Linked DNA regions of Callithrix jacchus. The protein of the gene in region 3 binds, or shares a complex with, the protein of the main gene of each other region. Links are inferred from orthologs where the notes say so. Each region holds a gene or a part of one and is shown on either strand. Other genes may lie near its edges.

What was found.
Region 1: SF3B5 (region 3) and PPIL2 share a complex: the UniProt entries of both Homo sapiens proteins name them as parts of the minor spliceosome. The link is inferred for Callithrix jacchus from reciprocal best matches to the Homo sapiens genes SF3B5 and PPIL2.
Region 2: SF3B5 (region 3) and PLRG1 share a complex: the UniProt entries of both Homo sapiens proteins name them as parts of the minor spliceosome. The link is inferred for Callithrix jacchus from reciprocal best matches to the Homo sapiens genes SF3B5 and PLRG1.

What each region holds. Positions count from the first base shown.
Region 1 is NC_133502.1:193,645,149-193,648,806, forward strand, and holds part of PPIL2 (RING-type E3 ubiquitin-protein ligase PPIL2), read left to right. Parts: intron 1-34; coding exon 35-86; intron 87-3,090; coding exon 3,091-3,142; intron 3,143-3,658. UniProt on the Homo sapiens protein: Has a ubiquitin-protein ligase activity acting as an E3 ubiquitin protein ligase or as an ubiquitin-ubiquitin ligase promoting elongation of ubiquitin chains on substrates.
Region 2 is NC_133504.1:42,079,435-42,082,466, reverse strand, and holds part of PLRG1 (pleiotropic regulator 1), read right to left. Parts: intron 2,815-3,032; coding exon 2,712-2,814; intron 1,986-2,711; coding exon 1,877-1,985; intron 749-1,876; coding exon 609-748; intron 110-608; coding exon 1-109. UniProt on the Homo sapiens protein: Involved in pre-mRNA splicing as component of the spliceosome. Component of the PRP19-CDC5L complex that forms an integral part of the spliceosome and is required for activating pre-mRNA splicing.
Region 3 is NC_133505.1:150,851,839-150,854,435, reverse strand, and holds SF3B5 (splicing factor 3B subunit 5), read left to right. Parts: upstream 1-1,266; 5' UTR 1,267-1,386; coding exon 1,387-1,647; 3' UTR 1,648-2,002; downstream 2,003-2,597. Other genes in the region: uncharacterized protein LOC118153004, read right to left, coding at 1,168-1,266. UniProt on the Homo sapiens protein: Component of the 17S U2 SnRNP complex of the spliceosome, a large ribonucleoprotein complex that removes introns from transcribed pre-mRNAs.

The DNA.
Region 1 (3,658 bases), on a different chromosome or scaffold from region 3:
CCTGGTGATGCTTTCTGTTCCCTCTTCCCTTCAGGAACATTGTTCCCTGGCTTAAGAAGTATGGGACCAACCCCAGCAATGGAGAGGTAGGTGGCTGTGCGGGAGTTTCAGTGATGGTGGTGAACGCCTTCCTCTCACCTCTCCTGTTCTGGTGGTTTTCATGAGGCCCAGTGAGGAGGAACAGTCTTCCCCTCCTCTCTCTACACCCATTCCTTTCCATAAACGCTTCCTGTCTGTGCACATATATATATATATATATGCATATCTTTTCTCAGGCCATAGCTGTGATCCAGTATGACCTCATCTTACTATATCTGCAGAGACCTTGTATCCAAGTAAGGCCACAGTTCCAGTGAGCATCAGTTTTGGGGGGACATTATTCGGCTTGGTCTTGAGGGAGAGCTCGTGTATTTTACCAGTGACCTTGCCCTTTCTGTTGGAGTTCCTTGCATTTATTCCTCCACCTTTTTCCTGTGGCCTGGGGCAAGAGCTCAAACTGTGCAAATGAGGTGGAGGGTCAGGACTCCAGCAGGTTCCCTGTGCTGGATCCACTGGGAGGGAGTTCCCTGGACAATACACCCCTCCCTGCCAGGCCAGCAGGAGAAGCTGGCAGCCCATCTGTGCTGTCTCAGCTCTTCTGACCCTTGTGACTTTCTGGGGGCTGCAGGGTTCTGTGCACTCTTTATAGATGGAGTTAGCGCTCCTCCAAGGCTTTCCTGCTCTTGAAAATGAGGGAACTTGGCCAGGGGACTGATTTTGAGTGTCCTTGGACCAGCTGCTAAAGCCTATGGCTTTTGTCTTTCAGATGCTTAGGTAGGGGGCTTGTGGGGGCTTGTGACCTCACCTTAGGGAGGGCAGTCTTCTTCCTTGGTCTTTATCACTTAAAGACTGTGTTCTGTGGTTCATGCCTGTAATCCCAGCACTTTGGGAGGCCAAGGTAGGCAGATCTCAAGTTCAGGAGATCGAGACCATCCTGGCCAAAATGGTGAAACTCCGTCTCTACTAAAAATACAAAAAAATTAGCTGAGCATGGTGGTGCATGCCTGTAGTCCCAGCTACTCGGGAGGCTGAGGCAGGAGAATTGCTTGAACCTAGAAGGCGGAGATTGCAGTGAGCCGAGATTGTGCCACGGCACTCCAGCCTGGGCGGCTGCAAGTGCAAGACTCCATCTCAAAAAAAAAAAAAAAAAAAAAAAAAAAGACTGTTTCTGTGATATCTGCTGCTGACACCACATTGGATTCCAGGGGCTTCCCCCAGGGTCCGTGCCCCAGTCTGGGAAGTCATCCTCTGTGTCTCTTCTCAGCAGGAGTTCCTGCTGCCCGCCTATGCCCTGTGTGGCTGGGTGTCAGCCTCAGGGAGCAGCCTGGTGACGAGGTGGGGTAGGTGGGGTTTTCCTGTCCCCAGCTACTCATGGCCTCTGCTGTCCCAGTGGATGTTGTTTATTCAGTTGCAGCTGGGGTGCATTTCGTTACTTTGGGTGTTTTGCTTCAAAGGTGCTCTTTGGGGTTTACAAACTTGCCGATTGTGCTGGGCCCCACAACCACAAAGCCTGATCTGGCAGTTAGCCATTCTGTGAGGCGCCACCATTTCTTTGTTCCAGTTGTCATATTGGGGTGAGTTTGCAGGGGTGCCCCATGTGTCCTTATCCTCTCCCCTGGCGTGCTCTGGAAGGGGTCTTGCTGTGGGCTTGCTTGGACAGACCTATGGGCGTCAGCAGAGCCTTGCTAGCCAAACCTCTGGAGGAGAGTCCCTGGGCCAAGGGCTGGTTTGCCCATATGACTTTTGGGGGCTCAGAAGGAGCCTGTTTTGTATGTGGGGGGGTGTCCCTGCTCAGGTCCTGTGCCTGAATAGGGACCCTGTTGACCCTCTGGTGGTCTCTTCCTTACCTATAGTGATGTAGGAAGGTGGGGGTAGTTAAATGACGAAGGAATGAAGGCAGTGGAGGAGCAGATGTGGTCAGTTAGGCCGGCCAGCAGCAGGCAGGACCCACAGAGGGCGGGGAGGGCAGCACGAGGGCCTGCTGCAGTTTCAGGGCCAGGCCCAGGAGGCTCCTCCTGCCTCTCCCCTGGTCCTGGGTAGGCAGAGCTGGGCCCAGCCCACACCAGCTAGCAGCAGCTGCTGGGATGTGGCCCCCAGTGAGGTGCTCCCCAGCAGCACATAGCTCTGACAGCCCCGCCCCCAGCAGTTCCCGCCTCTGATTGTCCAGACTTTGTTTTATGGGAAAGTTTCCTGTAGAAGAGCTGAACTGCAGACACGCCACCAGAAGTGGGGGAAATAAGAAAAAAGAAAAAACATCCAGAAACAGAAAAATAGAGGGTCCCACCGTCCCAACACAACCACTCGTAGCGTTGGGGTGCATTTCTTCCCTTTCTCCCCACTTTTAATGTTTTTTTTTCCTTAAATATTCACATAACAGAATAATAAGGCAGACCCGTGTGTTGCCCCACTAGCTGAAGAAATACCTTTTTTTTTTTGAGACAGACTCTCACTCTGTTGCCCGGCTGGAGGGCAGTGGCGTGATCTCGACTCACTGCAATCTCCGCCTCTTGGGTTCAAGCGATTCTCCTGTCTCAGTCTCCCTGGTAGCTGGGACTACAGGCACCTGCCACCATGCTCAGCTACGTTTTGTGTATTTCCTACAGATGGAGTTTCACCATGTTGGTCAAGATGGTCTCAATCTCTTGACTTTGTGATCTGCCTGCCTCAGCTTCCCAAAGTGCTGGGATTATAGGCATGAGCCACTGCGCCTGGGGAAATTTGTTCATTTTTTAATTTTAGAAGTAATCTGTGCTCACCATAAAAATGTCCAAACCCTGCAGAAATATACCACCACCCAGCGGCCTGGTCTCAGCTCGGAATCACCCGTGATGGCTCTTCACAGAGAATGGTGGGGGTGCCACATAAACACAACCGCCTGATGCCATCCTGCAGCCCACATGAGGTCCTTGCAGGGGCTTGGGGCCTTCCCTTTTGTCCAGAGCTGCCCAGAGTTGGCTGGTCAGAGACCTTTTCAGCCCATCTCTGTTTGACCCCAGTATCTCTGTGCATCAGTCACGTATTCATTATCATTATTAACTCTGCTTCTTCCAGAAACTGGACGGGAGGTCCCTGATCAAGCTGAACTTTGCCAAGAACAGTGAAGGTGAGTGGAACCGTTGGGGCCAACTCTAGGCTTGGCTTGCCGACGACCCAGGCTCCTGGCTCTCACCAGGTCTCATATGGAATCAGTCATTCCTTTCTGACCAAGCTGGATACCTGCTTTTAGTCCTCAAAAAGTGTCACAGGATTTCTTCTCAAAGATCTGGGTAGTTTTAGGCTGGAGATGGGAGGGGGCAGAATCTTGGGTGTTGGGAACTTTCCACAAAGGTGATTGGGCCGTCATGAGCTGCCAGTGGCCTTTGTGGGCATAGTCGGAGTTGCAGGGCATGGGCCTCCTCTGGCTGAGGCTGTGGTCTGTTTGGAGGCAGAAGTTGCTCTGCACTGGGAACTAGGGCAGCAGCTGGGGAGGGAATGTGGTGGTCTGGAGGGATTTGTCGGGTAGCTCTCAGGCTGGGCGTTTCCTCACTACAGCTCATAGGGCCTAGCCCAGCCCAGCCCAGCTCAGCAGCTCCTGCTTCATGTCCCTTACACACGTTGCGCTGCTCTTGTGGTCAGATTC
Region 2 (3,032 bases), on a different chromosome or scaffold from region 3:
GCAAATATTCCTGATTCACTGTCCAAAGACCCAGGTTGCACAGCTGCATGAACTCTCTGAAAATTGTAGCCAGTTCTCCAATCCCAAAGATGCATGGTGCCATTGTCAGCTTAAAGGGAAAAAAATCTAGTTACACCTGGTATCCCTTCAGCAGTACAGCCTGACATTTATTAAGCAAAATTAGCCCAAGCACCAAGGCAATACTACAATTATAAAAATACATACGACACAGGCACTCAACCTTCTCTTAATAATAGTTTGTCTCATTTCATTTGTGCTGGGTTCAGAATTTATAGATCTTATAGATCTTAAAAAGCACCGCAAAGTCTGACATCAATTCCAGAATACCAAACAAAATTTTGGGCAATTCCCAGTATAAATCCCTGAGATTCTTTAGGTGGGAACTCAAAGAGAACTAAACTATGAAATATACTACATGTATTATGAATATGCATAAACACCCATAGTAACATGCACATATACCCTAATCGGGCAAGTGCTGCTCTAATACTTAAGTGTCACAGCTTAGAAGCATTACAAATATTTATTCATCATTAAAAGAAAAAAATAAGAGACCAAACATATTGATTATAAAAATCTTATTTTACCTCCAGATACAAGTACTCCATCAGAATTTACTGTCAACGTGTTAATAATAGCATTATGACCAGAAAGATTTTGAATGAAACTTCCATCAGGGAATTTCCACTGCTTTATGTTATCTGGAGAACCAGATGCAAATGTGTAACTGAAATAATATTAAAAAGAATTAATGACAAAGTAAACCAAGTTAAATAAAGTGGGGTAACAGAACACAAGATACTATGTATGGCATACGATATGATATGTAAAAAGCATGAGATAAAAACAGTGCAATGAAATTTCATTTGAATACATTTCAAATGTCCACGATTAAAATATGACACAGAAACACTATAATAAAGCTTATTATAGTTATATTTTGCATGTGCACTCAATTATTTATGTATTCAGCAAAATACTGTCATATCAAAATGTAAAAATATTAAGACATTCGTTCAAAGATAAATCGGATTTTCAAATTTTAAACAGTATATTTTAAGTCCTAGATGAATGTTTTATTCTCCTTTCATTTCCTTAATCTCTGCAGTAAGCTAGAACAATAAATGTGCAAATGCCCTGTTTCACATGAAGGGCAAGGCAAATGCAACTCTTACAGAGGGAGGGAGAGCAAGACAGGAACGGAAAGAAAGGAAGAGAAGGAAAGGAATAGAGGGCAAGAGGAAGAGAAAGGGAGTGAGGAGGAGAAATGGGAGTGAGAAAGACAAGCAAAGGAAGGAAGAAGAGAGGAGAAAAGGGTATGGAGAGTGAAAAACAGAGAGAAGGAAGGGGGAGAGAGAAAGGATATGCATATAACCAGGAAAGTGTCAGGGTGAACTGATAGAACAAACAGTAGTAGTGATATTATGTTCCACCTCCTGGGATACTTTGACTATACTGTCCAGATTTCTTATTTCTCTTTCTACATATATTAACTTCCTCCTTAAGAATTAAACTATTCAATGAATGTCTCAGTGTTCAGATCATTTATGTCCAAAACATTAAGCCCAGTCACTAATATCTTTTATTTTGACAAGCAGCATTTAATCATGATATATTTACATTGTCTGATTTGACATTATTTACGTGTTATCAAGTAGAAGGCTTTCCTTATGTTTTATAGGGAATAAAGCAAAATAGTGCATGAAGAAAATAAAAGAAACACATGTTCCTGTGTGACACAGGCCTAGAAATGACAGCAGCTAAATGACTGCCAAAAAGCATGCTGACACGAGCATTTCAGCATTATACTAAGAACTGAAGAAAAAAGAGAAGCTAATTAGGAAAATACACTTACTGTCTTGGATGTAAAACTACAGCCCTAACTGATTTTTTGTGATTTGTTAAAGTCACTCTTGTTTTTCCAGCCACCAGATCCCATAATCGAATTGTAGTATCATGGCTTCCTGTAATGGAAATACATACATCTCTCAAAACAGACCAGAAAAAAGAATGAAAATTAAATAAAATACAAAGCATTCTTCCAAAACACATATGTTCTAAATAAAAGTCTTATCACTTGGAAATTAGTCTTGGCTAATTTCTTCATAGTTCCAAACGTTTAGGTTGACTTTAAATCTTTAAAAAATTACAATTGATTCACTGTCAATTGAACAGCTAGAACAAACGCAAATAACAAATAAAACAAATATATGATTTTATACCCTCATGAAAGGGAAAAACTCCAATGATTTTTTAAGTTAATAAAATACAACAGGCACAGGAATTATTTTCTAGTATTAAAGATCCAACTTTATTTAGAGAAAAACAAGATTCAAATCATTTCTAAAGGTTCTAAAGGTTACTAGTCTCAAGGTATTTTGTCTTCTAACTTTAATTTTCTAGAAAAATAATTTTGACACTGTAAAATAGTAAACTGCTCATAACACAGTATTCTAGTCAGACATTACAGGATACTATGTATGGCATACTCTATGATATGTAAAAAGCATGAGATAAAAACAGTGAAATGAAATTTCATTTGAATATATTTCAAATGTCCATGATTAAAATATGACACAGAAACACTGTAAACACAATACAAAGCATGAGTCATCGTGACTATTAAAAGTGTATGTATAACATGGATTCTGTTATGAATATGCTGTAAACTTGAAAAGTATCAATCATACCTGTAATAATTTGTGGTTCTGCAGCCTGACATCTCACTGTAGCAACTGCATTTGTATGTCCAGATAACGTGTGTACGCTGGCTTTAGTTCTCACATCCCAAATCTATAAAAATGCAACAGACATAATATAATGAAGAAAATGCTTTAAATCAAAGATAATGATTTATAAACTGGAGAAAGAATATAAATAGACAGCTTGCAAGAATTTTAAAAAGCTGAAAGATCAGGTACTGAAAGTCTAGGAATGGGTATGATGGGACTACTTCTGGACTACTGAATGAAAGAACTAATGGACAATAGTTGTGGTTACAGAACGGAATG
Region 3 (2,597 bases):
TATAATTTTTAAAGAGGATCTCGTTTTTTTCAGGTAGCCTCTATCCATATGAGGAAGTTATTAAACTAAAAATTAGGATATAAAGCAATAATAAGGAAGAGATGGATAATCTGCAAAGAGGAAGAAGAATTTACATCTGTCTGGAGCAGCCAGAGAAAATTCTAGGGAGATGCATTTGAGCTGCCTTTAAGGCAGATGCGTTCACCAAGGGAACAGACATTCCAAGTAGAGGGAACAGCTTGCACAAGGAACTGGGGAATGGGCACAACAGGTAACATGGAGAAGTACAGTTGTCCCTCAGTATCTGTGAGTGATTGGTTCCAGGACTCCATGGATACCAAAACTAGAAGATACTCAAGTCCCTGATATAAAATGGCTTGTATTTGCATATACACACATCCTCCCGTATAGTTTTTCTCTAGATTATTTAACAATACCCAATACAATGTAAATACTATGTAAATGGTTGTTATATTGTTTAGGGTATAATAACCTTTAAAAGTCTACACTTCGGTACACACTAATTTTTTTCCCAAATATTTTCAGTCGGGTTGGTTGAATTCACAAAACCCACTGAATGGAAGGGCCAAGTAGGGTGCCGTGAGGCATTGGAGGGAGGATATCAAAATAACTGGCTAGAGAGGAAGGAGGAACTTGAGGTGGAGCCGGAATGTGAGGAAATGGGTACTGTACTTGCTCACCAAACACCCTGGTTAGAGCTGAAATAACTCTTTGATGCTACAAACTCCTAAGCGACATAGTTGGGACCAGAACTCGCGCCTACTGACTTCTGGGTAATCCATCCCGGGTAGTGAAGGGACTGCCGTGCCGCCACGATAGGTCCGAAATACATAAGAGTTTATTTTCGGGGTTGCTCGTAGTCCACTCCTATTTGGGTTTCCCATTTCCCATCAGCCCCAAGCCAACCACGGATGCTTCCCGCCTCGCAGACAACACCCTCCACTAGGCACCCATACCGCTTTTAAAAGGCGACCAGAAGTTCCGGAGGCTGGCGTGCACGAACTCCAAAGACCAAGACCACAAGTCCCAGCATGCAACGCTCCCGGTTGAAAAGGGCCTCTCATAGCCACTAAGCGGACCATCATGCAACGCTCTATGAAGGGGCACGGCTCACTACAGGGGCGGCACACTTGTAGCGTCGCATACCTCGGCAACTCCAATTCCGTGACTGATGTGCTTCCGCTTCCGCTTCCGCCTCTGAGCCCTATGAGCGAGAGTTACACTACTTAGTCTCAGTGACGCCATTCTTCTGCGACCGCGTGGGCCCGGAGGTGCTGTGCGGTGTCCTCACTCCCGCTTGAAACGGTAGAGCGGTGACTTGTTTCCTGCGGCCTCTGACCTCGGAGCGAAGGGGAAAGCGGCGAGATGACGGACCGCTACACCATCCACAGCCAGCTGGAGCACTTGCAGTCCAAGTACATCGGCACGGGCCACGCCGACACCACCAAGTGGGAGTGGCTGGTGAACCAACACCGCGACTCGTACTGCTCCTACATGGGCCACTTCGACCTTCTCAACTACTTCGCCATTGCGGAGAATGAGAGCAAAGCGCGAGTCCGCTTCAACTTGATGGAGAAGATGCTGCAGCCTTGTGGACCGCCAGCCGACAAGCCCGAGGAGAACTGAGACTGCCTTACCAACGCCGTGCGCGGCGCCTCTCCCAGCGTTCCTCCCGTTTGCCAAATCCCTCGAGTATTCCTGCCTTCAAGGGACCGGCTCTCTCCATGGCTCCTGCGTCCCGCGCTTTCTGCGTATAGAAGTGCTTGCCGGGGAAGTCCCTCCTGACCCGCCTTCATGTGGACACTTTGGGACAGCATTGAGAGACCAGCAGGACCCCTGAGAACTGTGCTGGCGGAGAGGTCCTGCAGCCGGCAAGTCTCTGAGAAGAGGGCGTGGCGCTGGAGTGAGATGGGATTTGGCGTCTCGTTTTTGCCTAATTGATTGTCATTGGCTTTTTCCATAAAGTTTAGAAATCGTTCAGTCTCTTGGTGTGAACTTCCTGTGTTAGGGTGGAGGGCTCCGGAAAGAGCTCCAGGCACCGAGGTTCGCGAGAGTCCGAGTGGGAAATGGGTTTGGGTGAGGGTGCGAATGCCAGTGTCTGTGGCCAGGCACTTAGATATGCCTGTATACCTTTATAGTGTTCCCCGACTGCCACTTCCTCCAAGAGCTTTATTTTCAGTCTCACAATGACTTCAGTTTTGAAGTTTGCGGTTAATGTATCCCATCTTTTTCTTCTGTTTTAAAAATCTTTGCTGTCATTGTTTTCCCTAGCCTCTTTAAATTACATCCTTTCTTTTTCCTGGGAATTTGAAACCATGTCTCCAGAAATGACAAGATGGCAAGCGAGTTCATCCATTCTACATTCAACAAATATTTGTTGAGCTCTATGTGACAGGCATTTTCCCATGTTCTTGGGTATACATTAATGCTGGTGGTGGAGAAAGGTCAAACACTGTAGGCATAGCAAGCAAATGTTAGAAGGTGGTGCTGGGAGGGGAGAATTATGTATATGGTGTGGGTGGGGTAGCTGGTAGGGTTGTAATCTTAAATATGATGCACAAGTTATTGAGATGGTG